2 linked regions of the Caenorhabditis elegans genome follow. The protein of the gene in region 1 interacts with the protein of each later gene in a biochemical or structural test. Each region holds a gene or a part of one and is shown in the gene's direction. Other genes may lie near its edges. The genes, in order: npr-22 and lury-1.

Region 1 (6,484 bases):
ATGCACTTGGGTTTTGAACTTTTTTAAAAATTATTCAACAGCTTTCTGAATCTGTCTTGTAATGTTTGAAACCTGATTGTGAATGAAACAAGAGTGAAGTAAAACAAAATAAATTTTAAGTTCGGAGAATTGATTATAAATGTTTATCTTTTTTTCTTTTTTGAAGGTGGATGTGGAGAAGTTGTCAAAAACCATTCCTATGATGCCAAAATGTTCAAATACAACTTTTCAAAATAAAAAGTGTGAAAATTTTTATTGACAGTTTAAAAGTGGCAATTACTGAGTTTTTGCCACTTTTTGCCATAGACGACTTCCAAAAAGCGAAGACTTTTCCAAAGTTTTGAAGCTTACTTGACATGAATGTTTTCTTATTTTCAGTCAACTTTATCTTGTTTTTTTCACAACATCGCACTACATCCAGACACATTTCTGTTGACTCAATATTAATTATTTATTATTTATTATTCATTTTGCAAGGATGTGGTGTTCTTATTCCTATTTTTATATACTTCTCCTTTTTCTTTCAGAAATTCTAGAAATTATTTTTATGCTAATTGAGATGTACATTTGAGACATTTTCATGCCGTGATGACGTAATCTATCTGAATCTTGAGATATCTATGTACATTCTTGCTAATAACGTGAAAGGTGTCATATGTACTGAGGTCTACCTTATCATTTCCTGATTATAACATCATTGAAACATATTTTAGACATATTTTAATAAATTTCAGTTTTTTTTTGTCCTATCTGGTCAATAGTTTTTTCTACAAAAAAATAGACAAATAAGAATTAAATTCAGCTAAAATTATTGAGATATAGTGTTGAAGAATACGATAAAACGACGGTAATCTTTCATTCGATTAAATTCTAGAAACCAATCGCGTATCCAAAATCTTAAATTTTTATAATTAACAGTTAGCTAGAGTTTCTTTATTGGAACATACAATTAGCACAATACAATTGGAAAACTTCGGTTTAAAGAATCTGTAACAATTTTCTTTTACTTGATTTTGTTCAAGTTTCTCAAGTTTTAGCACGTGCTCTAACCCTGCAATAAAAGTTTGTACTTTATTCAAGTATTCATATTGTACTTGTACTCTATCGTATGATCATATTACTCATGTCTAAAACTTCGGTAGACACGCATTTTTCCAACATTTTTCTTCCATAAATTCCTGTTATCTTGCAAAGTTCATTTGTAAACTAATACAACACATGTCTGGCTGATTTGACCTTTCTCATTGAAATTGATGGATCATGTGTCAAAATGGGACCACTACAGATCACTAGATACTACTATCACTATATCACTATTTAAACATGGCAGATTTCAAGAAAGTTTGCCACATTTTCAGATGAAATCATCTTATTAATTTTGATTTCGAAAACAGATATTAGCAGCCTACCTTCTGGATTTTTCGGTTACAATGTACCTATTTATTAATCAAAAACTATCACTTCTGCATTTTGTAATCATTCCCCAATCATCCTTGTGCGAAAAATAGGATAGTTCTTCAAGTTTTTCCCTTCCCTATACTTTTGCCATATATTTTTTTAATTCCCACTGGACTTTCCCAAAAGAATTATTTTTCGAATATACCACACTTTTAACAAATTTTCTGGATTCGGAAACATTATATTTTTTTTTCTACAAAACCGCAAAGACTATAGTCATTTTTCGAGGTCAACAAACATCCAAATATCATTGCGAGCATCCTATGTTCCTCTAATTCTCTCATACTTTGCTTCCGAAAACCCAAGAATCACAAAAAAATCTTGTTTGATCTTTGCCTTATTTTTCCAACTGCTAATTGACCTTCTTCGTTTATATAATTTTTCACTTTATAGAAATTTACTTTTTAATCAATTTCAAACAACAAAATTTGATACACTTTCTTAATATTATCCTTCTCCTACATTCTCATAAATTTGAAGGTTTCTCTTTCAACATTTCTGATCTAAAAAATGTGCGAGAAAATACATTCTTGGTTTCTTCATATTCATTTATTTCTCCGAAATATGTTCTCTTTTTCTTTGTTTTTAATTTTCGGTTTTCTATGAACAAGTGGTCTTCCTTATTTGGAACACTTCCCCAAACTCTTTCCGAATAAATTGTTTTAAATTTCAGATCGAACGATTCGTCATCTAATTCGTGAGCAAATATGGACGAAGGAGGGGGTATTGGAAGCAGTTTGCTCTCCAGAATCACGACGACAGCCTCTGAAATTATGATGCGAAACGAACCGACGACAACTGAAAATCCAGCTGTTCAAGAAATGAATCATATTTATCATTTGACACCAAGTATGAAGGTGAGACTTTTAAAAAATATTCTTATACATTCAAAGTATATCTAAAAATCCAAATTTTACAAGAGTTTTGAAACTTTGAAAAAAGGAACTAAAATTAGTTTTTTTTACATTTCATATTTAGGCAATTTGGCCATGTTTTTAGCCAATTTTACCTGCTGAAAATTGATTTTAACGTGCCATGTACTTTTATTTTAGTTAATTTATGATAGCGTTTTCTTCAAAACTTGAACCGTAAATAAAAAGTTTTGAAAATTTTTCAAGTGCTATCATTATTAAAATTCGGTATAATTTTTAGAGGCCATTTTAAGTGTAAAAAATGAATAAAATTACTACATTATTACCTTTAATATTTGTACCTATTTATTACTAATTTTTTACAGATGTTATGTATTCTTTTCTATAGTATACTTTGCGTATGCTGTGTCTATGGAAATGTGCTCGTTATTCTGGTTATTGTTTATTTTAAACGACTTCGAACGGCGACTAATATTTTGATATTGAACTTGGCAGTTGGTGGGTTTTGTTACTTTTGAATTTTTGAAAACTTTTTATAATTTTTCAAATCTCCAGAACTTATATGAGCTTCTAAATGGATAAGTTTAAAAAATTAATTAATCTAAGATGTTGAGCAAATTTCCCAAAAAAACAACTAAAATTGCAGCTGATCTTCTCATATCAGTATTCTGCATTCCGTTCAGCTATTGGCAAGTATTGATTTATGATGATCAACGTTGGCTCTTCGGCTCAATGATGTGCTCTTTATTAGCATTCCTTCAAGCAATGGCTGTATTTTTATCAGCTTGGACACTTGTCGTTATCAGTTTTGATCGGTGGATGGCTATAATGTTCCTTTTAACTCCAAATATTCGAATTACAAGACGAAGAGCTCTTTATCTGGTAGCTGCCACGTGGATATTCAGTATCCTAATGGCGTTGCCGTTACTCTTCACAACGAGATTTTTCGAAGACCAAGACGGTTTACCGAATTGTGGAGAAAATTGGACGTATTTTGGAGATTCTGGAGAACAAGTGAGAAAAGTGTATTCTTCAATGGTCTTAATTCTACAATATGTTGTACCTCAAGCAGTTTTAATAATAACTTACACACATATTGGAATTAAAATGTGGAATAGTCGAGTACCAGGAATGCAGAATGGAGCAACAAAGAAAATGATCGTTGATCGACATGAAAGTGTCAAAAAGGTGAGATTTCTGGAATTATTAAAAATTTAAGCCTAACCTTTCAAAAACTCCCAGTTTTGATTTATTAGAATAATAAGAATATGGAAATAATGCAACAATCAATGGCTCCTCAGTGCGGTGATGATAATAATAACCATAATCAAAGTCAACCGACCCCTATATTTATAGGAACAATATTCTCATGTGTAGCATAAAAATAATAATCAAAAATCGTTTTTGACATAACCTTTTCCAAATCATTATTAAGTGAAACTTTAAAATTGAAAAAAATTAAATCAAAGTTCGAAGTTATTACATTTTACCTGCCTATTACATGACGGTTTGATAAAGTTGTTCAGTAGATTGAAATATCGTTTTTACTTATTTTTATCAAATACAATAAATATTACCGCGTGAGAAACGAAACCTGTTAATTAAATAAGATTTTTAGCTGGTCCCAATGGTGATTCTCATTTCGGCACTCTTCGCACTTTGTTGGCTTCCTTTACTTATACTGATCAACGTCATTCCAGAATTCTATCCAGATATCAACAGTTGGGGATATATTCTGTATTTGTGGTAAGAAATATTCTTTTAATCTGACTCAATAATTTGGTTTTAAAAATCGCATTTTGAGGTGGTTTGCTCATGGACTTGCCATGTCTCATTCAATGGTCAACCCAATTATCTATTTCATTCGAAATGCCCGTTTCCGTGAAGGATTCTGTTTCTTCTCTTCAAAACTTCTTCCATGTATATCATTTAAAGAACTTCGTCTTTTAACTGATAATACTAGCAGAAGGTATGTCAATTTCTACAAAGTTGTCTGTTTTTGAATTGAAGCCAAGAGTTAGGAGCAATTCAGTTTATTTATGTATCAACCTTATTTGTTGATAACCAGTTTGATAATTTTAATAACTCAACAATATCATTCAGTTTTCGAAACCGTTCACGGTTTTCTGGTGTCATAAATCCGACTTCAAGCGATGAAAAACCTGCTGTAAGGATGTTCTCTAACCCATGTTTTTTGTCCTTCTTGACTTTTTGTTTGGCTTGGCTTTTTTATTTTTACATTTTAAAGTTTATTTTGCACTGCTTCACATGCACTAATATGTTGATTAAGTTAATTTCATTTTAAATTATGAGTATATCGTATTTCCTCTTTTAGTATTGCACACCATTGTTCAACTTTGACAGTGTATATCTCAGTTATCATTTGTTCCATTTAAAAATTGTCAACTAACAAAATATTTTTTAGTTCTTTTTCTATAATTTCGTAGTTAAAGATATAATGATATATTCAAAATAAACCGATATATAACGTTACAAAGTAAAGTTGTCCGGTGCATTACTAAGAGAGGAAATACGGTACGTTAAATTAGCAAAATTAAAAATCTTCTAAGTCAGCCTAGGTCGTTCAGCGCAGTTAATTTGCGATGGACCCATCAGAATCCTAGAGCAGTGATTTATCTACACATCGTCAAAAAAATCGGACATTGCGCATACTGCGACTCGTAAGCTGCCTATAATGAGCACATTGAGCCAGGATTGCTATGAAATCATTGTGCTTGTTTACTGAGTCATTATGTGCCTGTCGCGAATTAACTGCGAACTAAATTTTGCCACCAAATGATAGAGGGAAAACCCCTACTACTGAGAAAGTGTTTGCCGATGAAGTTTAGCGAAACCTAGAACCATAAGAACTTGTAAGTAAAACTTTAAAAACAGTTTTTAAATTCAAATGCTTTACTTCTAAACCCTTTTTATTAATTAAACGCCTCAATTATATCCACTGCCTAGTACACATTTTCCAATCTGATTATTTCCACAACATCGACTTTCTTCCTAGCCACAACCTAATTTTCAATATTTTCAGACATCGCTTACGAGATATTCACGAAGTGGAGTCCTTGACAGGCAAACATGTCGTTCGGCACGTTTCTTCGAAGCCCGACCACTCGTCGTCGTCCGAAACAACTCTGCCAATTCTCTCGCGTAGCTTTTCCCGTATCATTAAGAAAATTGATCTACCATGTACTTGAGTGGAAAGCTATAGAAGACCATAGATTCAAGGTTTTTGTTATTTGAAATTGTATTTTAAAGCATAATTTCACAAATTATGTTTATATTCCATCCATTTTATTGTATTGTAAGAAAAAACCCCTCAGATCTCCTAAGAAACAATTTTATATGAAACATCAATTGTTGTCTGAAACGCTTTTCATACCGGTAAATACTCGCCCCACCAAATCCACGAATCATCACCAATATTTTAAACTTGTACCATACAAATTGCGTGTTTTCATTTTATTTGAATATTTTTTCAAAACTAAATGTAGAAATAAATGTTAGAATACTACAAATTTACATCTGACAGATTTAAAAGAATCCAATGAGTTGACTGAAATTTTGTAAACTGGCAAATTACTGAGCAATTCAGATAAATATTTGATTGATTTCGGTTTCAAGCTTGTAGTTCCACGTGTGAAGGTTTATTTACAGAGATTCGGCATTTGTCTATTTTTAGAAGGGATGCATTTTCCGTGAATTGTATGCAAGTATTTTATTAAAGAAAAATGAAATAAGCAGTCTTGATAGGCAGACACTTATATTTAAAGTATATAGTCACTCCAGAAAACAGACAAGAAAACAATCAAAGTGAACAATTTTTATGCATTTTCATTCAATCTTTATTCTTCAATTTTCTCATACACTTCACAAAAGTAAAGCATATGAAAACCAAAAAACACAAAACACCGTCAGCGACTTGTTGTATGCAGAAATAAATCAGAAATGATTGTCACTTATCCCTTTGTGTTGAGATGTTGTGGCGCCTTGTAAGCCAACTCGTGGACTCCTCCATTGTACAGCTTGGCAACGATTCCGGAACGAGCAGCCGCGAGCCAAATAGCTGAAGCTGAGAGTCCGATTCCGCAACCAATGACAACGGTGTCTCCGACTTTGATTCCCTTGGCGGCGAAGGCTGG
Region 2 (4,213 bases), on another chromosome or scaffold:
TCAAATACCAAAGACCCCATCTCAAACCTGAAAAAAATAAGAATTGAATTGCTAATTTTGACGATTCAATGATGAACTCTCATTCATTTACTTATTTTCGTTTATTACTTCTTAATTTTCATTTCATTAAGTAATCCGTTTAGGGCAAATTATAGGAACTTTTTAGGGCTTCCCTGTAGGCGTTAAAACGCCTGCCTGCCTGGCCTTAAGGCGACCTCTGCCTGCCTCGCGACTCAATCCGCGCCTTATGCTCTTAATTTGATTTTCATCAAATGATAGAAATGAGAAAATTAGAAATTTGTAAATTCATGTAAAAATGCGTAAGAGGAGAGGCGAATGACCGGGGTGAGAAAGGCAGGATTCAGGCAGGCCCTGAAACCGCGCTTGCCTACCATGAAAGCCCTAGTGTGCCCACACTATGCGCACATCACAGATTGATTAACTGTGTACCATAGTTTTGAAATTATTTTCGTCCAATGCAGAGCTTATTATTGTTTGTTGTCATTTCCAGAATTGCGTGCCAACAACCCTGAGAAAATTAAAAATAACGAATTTCTCTGAATTCTGAATAATCTGAATTTCTGAACCCTTATTTCATATTTTCTCCCCAAAAAATAAAATTTTCACATGTCACAACACCAAATCTTCACCGGAAAATAACCATTTCAAACGCTGCTTTTTCGTTCCTTTTTACGTTTAATGAAATCCGAGACCATTTTTCCCACAATTCTCTTTTTGAAATGGCACTAAATTCAACGCCAACGCCCTATGTTTAATTAAGCTAAGAAAAAGGTATCAAATTTAAGAGAAGGAGGGGTTCTTGATTTACAAGATTAAGGTTTAAAAATAAAGATTTTCGGCTCATTTGATTATGTTTTTGTGGTGCGGTTTTATGGAGTGGAAAATTATCTTGATTTTGACTTTTTTTGGAAATTTTCTGTATTTTCTCGGATATGCTCTTTTTTCTTTTTTATTTTATTTTGAATTTCATTGATCACTTTTTAAATTGTTCAAAAATATAAAAAAATAATGGAATTGGTTCCCTGAAATATTAGATTTTGTCAACAAAAAATATACCAATTTCAAAAAAAGTTCCAATATATTTTTCTTACTTCTAGAAATTTTTAAGACTATCAAAAATTACGTATCCTAATAGTAGTGAAATTTTGTAATTTCAGCTCGAAATTGTGCTCCAGACCTGCTAAATTTTCTGTAGTAACCTATTTTGAAAATCCTCTTTCAAAGTGATTCCAATCAAAATTTGAAAAAAATATACAAAACTAGTGCTTCCCTGGTAGGCAGGCGCGGTTTCAGGGCCTGCCTGACACCTGCCCGCCTCACGGCGACCTTTCGGCTCTTGTTTTCCCTTTTTGACGTGATTTTACAAATTTCTAATTTTCGCATTTTTATCAATTTGATGAAAATCAAGTTAAGAGCATAAGGCGCGGATTGAGGCGGGAGGCAGGCGGAGGTAGGCAGACGGGCAGGCAGGCAGGCGCCTACATTAATGCACTAATTTACGATTAAACCAATTTTTCAAATTTCTCCAAACAAGCCCCGCACATTTTATGAATTTACCAATTATACATATTTCAAATTTTTTCGAAAACTAATTCCCAAGACTAGGTCTTCCATGGTAGGCAGGCGCGGTTTCAAACGCCTGCCTGAAATCTGCCTGGCCTTTCGCCTCTTTTTTGCATTTTGACGTGATTTTACAAATTTCCAATTTTCTCATTTCTATCAATTTGATAAAAATCAAATTAAGGCGCGGATTGAGGCGAGAGGCAGGCGAAGGTCGCCTTAAGGTTAAGTAGGCAGGCGTTTTATCGCCTACATGGAAGAAAAAATTTTCGAGATTTTGTGACAAAAACCGTGAATTTTGGCAGTTTTCGAATTATAATTATCGAAAAAAAACATTTCAAAATCTTCATATTTTTATGATTTCTAGAGAAAAAAAAGTTACTTAATTTAATTTTTCCACAAAAAATTCACACGGTCACACTCTTTTTGCTCTCATGACTTTACAATGACGTATTCCAAAAGCTTCTCAAAATCATCAAAAAATCCACCCGATTATTCCAGAAAATCCAATCATGCTCACAAGGGTCCCTGTCCTCATTTTGGCTGTCATTGTGATGTTGGCATTGTGCCAAGAGCCTGAGAAACCTGAGAAACGGCCGGCGTTGCTGTCCCGATACGGACGAGCTGTTCTTCCACGTTATGGAAAAAGGTCGGGCAATTTGATGGAATCGAGTCAGAATTCTTTGACAGGTAGGGGGATTAAAAAAATTTTTTTTTTTTGCATTTTGGCAAGTCTATAGAACATTTTGGACTAAAATTTATTTTTTTAGAAAAAATAAAAGTTACTTATAAAACTAGCACTTATAAAATGTATTTTTTGTAATTTTTCTTGAAAGTTTAAAATTGCCGGAAAACTCCAAAAAAATTGGGGTAGCTAAATTAACAAATTTTGAAATTTCTTCGCAAAATTTTGACCGTTTTTAAAAACTTTTATAACATTTATATTCGGTTATTACAACCCATTTTCTATAATTTAAAGTAAAAACAAACTTTTGGTAATTTGCCAATATTTTGGTAAATTGCCAAACTTTTTGGTAACTTGCCCAATTTTTTAAAATATATTTTCAAACTTTTTGGAAAATGCCAAATTTTTGGTATATTGGCAAATTTATTTTAGATTGCCCTACGTTTGGCGAATTGCCAAATTTTTGATAAAATGCCAAAAATTTGGCAAACTACTACATTTATTATAAATTGCCAACTTTTTGAAAAATTGGAAAATTTATGATGAATTGCTAAACTTTTGGTAAATTGCCAAGTTTTTGGCAATTTACCAAAAGTTTGGCAATTGTTGCCCAATTTTTAGTAAAGTACCAAATTTCTGGTAAATCGGCAAATTTATTATATATTGCTAAAATTTTGGTAAAATTCCAAATATTTGGAAAATTGCCACTATGTTGGTAGTTTGCGAAATTTTGAGTAAATTTCCAATTTTTTTCTAATTTATAAAAATTTTGGTAAATTGGCAAATTATTAGTAAGTTGCCACTTTTTTGGAAAATGCCAAATTTTTGGTAAATTGGCATATTTATTTTAGATTGCCCTACGTTTGGCGAATTGCCCAATTAATTCTAAATTGCCAATATTTTTGTAAATTACCAAATTTATTATAAATTGCTACTATTTTGTGAATTGCCAAATTTTTTATCCGACTTTTTCCATTTCAAATTATTCCAGAAGAATCATCGGACGTGGTTTGCCAATTAATCGATGGAAAATACATTTGTCTTCCAGTTGATGCTGTCAGATTCCGACCGTTCTTTTTGTGAAACCTCTCTGAAAATATTGTATTGTTTCTCTGCGTCTCTATGTCGTTCAACCATCTCTTTGCTTTCTCTCTCATTCAAATCCAAAAGAAATTAGAATAAATTTGTTTGTGGTGTTATTCTGGACATCAAGCTTGTCTAGAAGAGATTGTTTGTCTCAAGCCTTTTGGGAGGGCAAATATTCTTTAATTTACATTCATTTATGTATACGGCATTTTAATAAAGTCTGTGTCTGATGAATAACTGATAGGACGGCGGAAAGTTCCAATTTTGGTGCATTATTGCGACCTCAATATTATACCAGTAAATGTACAAATTGTAGAAACCCAGTGTCTGAAAAATTTTAAACAGATGAAATTTATGCCACTCAAAAAAACATTTTCAATAAGTCTCTACAAAAATTTTGCAGTCTAGGAAAACTTTTAACTAGATTTTTTAAAAATTAAATTTTTGGAAAAATCTGAAATTGTTCAGACAAAATTTTTTTTACAGGGTTTTCTTGGAGAGGTTAATGGTTCAATTAAACAGTGAGTAAACGTTAAATTTGTGTTTTAATGTGTGTTTTTTTTTCTTGAAACTCACTATTAAGGACTTTGCAAAATTTCGAAAAAAATATTTTCACGGAATATCGGTTTCTAAAATATTTTTGTAACTTGGGTAATTTACCAATTACAAACTATTACAAACCAAGTAGCTGCGTGCAAAAAACTAAACAATTTTGATACATTTCAAAGGACAGTTTTTCGAAATTTTTTTAGTTGAGCTAGCCCTGCATATTGGCATTAATTTTTGATAAAGTTGTTGACTCCAAACATGATAAGAAATGTCATTAGATAAGATTTTTGAAAAAACTGAATAAATTCAAAT

What was found.
Region 2: the proteins of npr-22 (region 1) and lury-1 interact in a test that uses a peptide from one of them, tested with the Caenorhabditis elegans proteins (one large-scale study listed by BioGRID).

The regions. Positions count from the first base shown.
Region 1 is NC_003282.8:8,557,303-8,563,786, forward strand, and holds npr-22 (Neuropeptide receptor 22), read left to right. Parts: upstream 1-2,129; 5' UTR 2,130-2,165; coding exon 2,166-2,315; intron 2,316-2,695; coding exon 2,696-2,828; intron 2,829-2,976; coding exon 2,977-3,518; intron 3,519-3,948; coding exon 3,949-4,076; intron 4,077-4,134; coding exon 4,135-4,299; intron 4,300-4,433; coding exon 4,434-4,497; intron 4,498-5,373; coding exon 5,374-5,496; coding exon of another isoform or gene 5,497-5,539; 3' UTR 5,540-5,859; downstream 5,860-6,484. Other genes in the region: mpst-6 (thiosulfate sulfurtransferase), read right to left, coding at 6,302-6,480. UniProt on the Caenorhabditis elegans protein: Receptor for the LURY-1-1 and LURY-1-2 peptides which control food-related processes including feeding, lifespan, egg-laying and roaming behavior. Receptor for flp-7 which stimulates serotonin-induced fat loss.
Region 2 is NC_003281.10:12,184,331-12,188,543, forward strand, and holds lury-1 (LURY-1-2), read left to right. Parts: upstream 1-2,080; 5' UTR 2,081-2,093; coding exon 2,094-2,271; intron 2,272-3,257; coding exon 3,258-3,349; 3' UTR 3,350-3,586; downstream 3,587-4,213.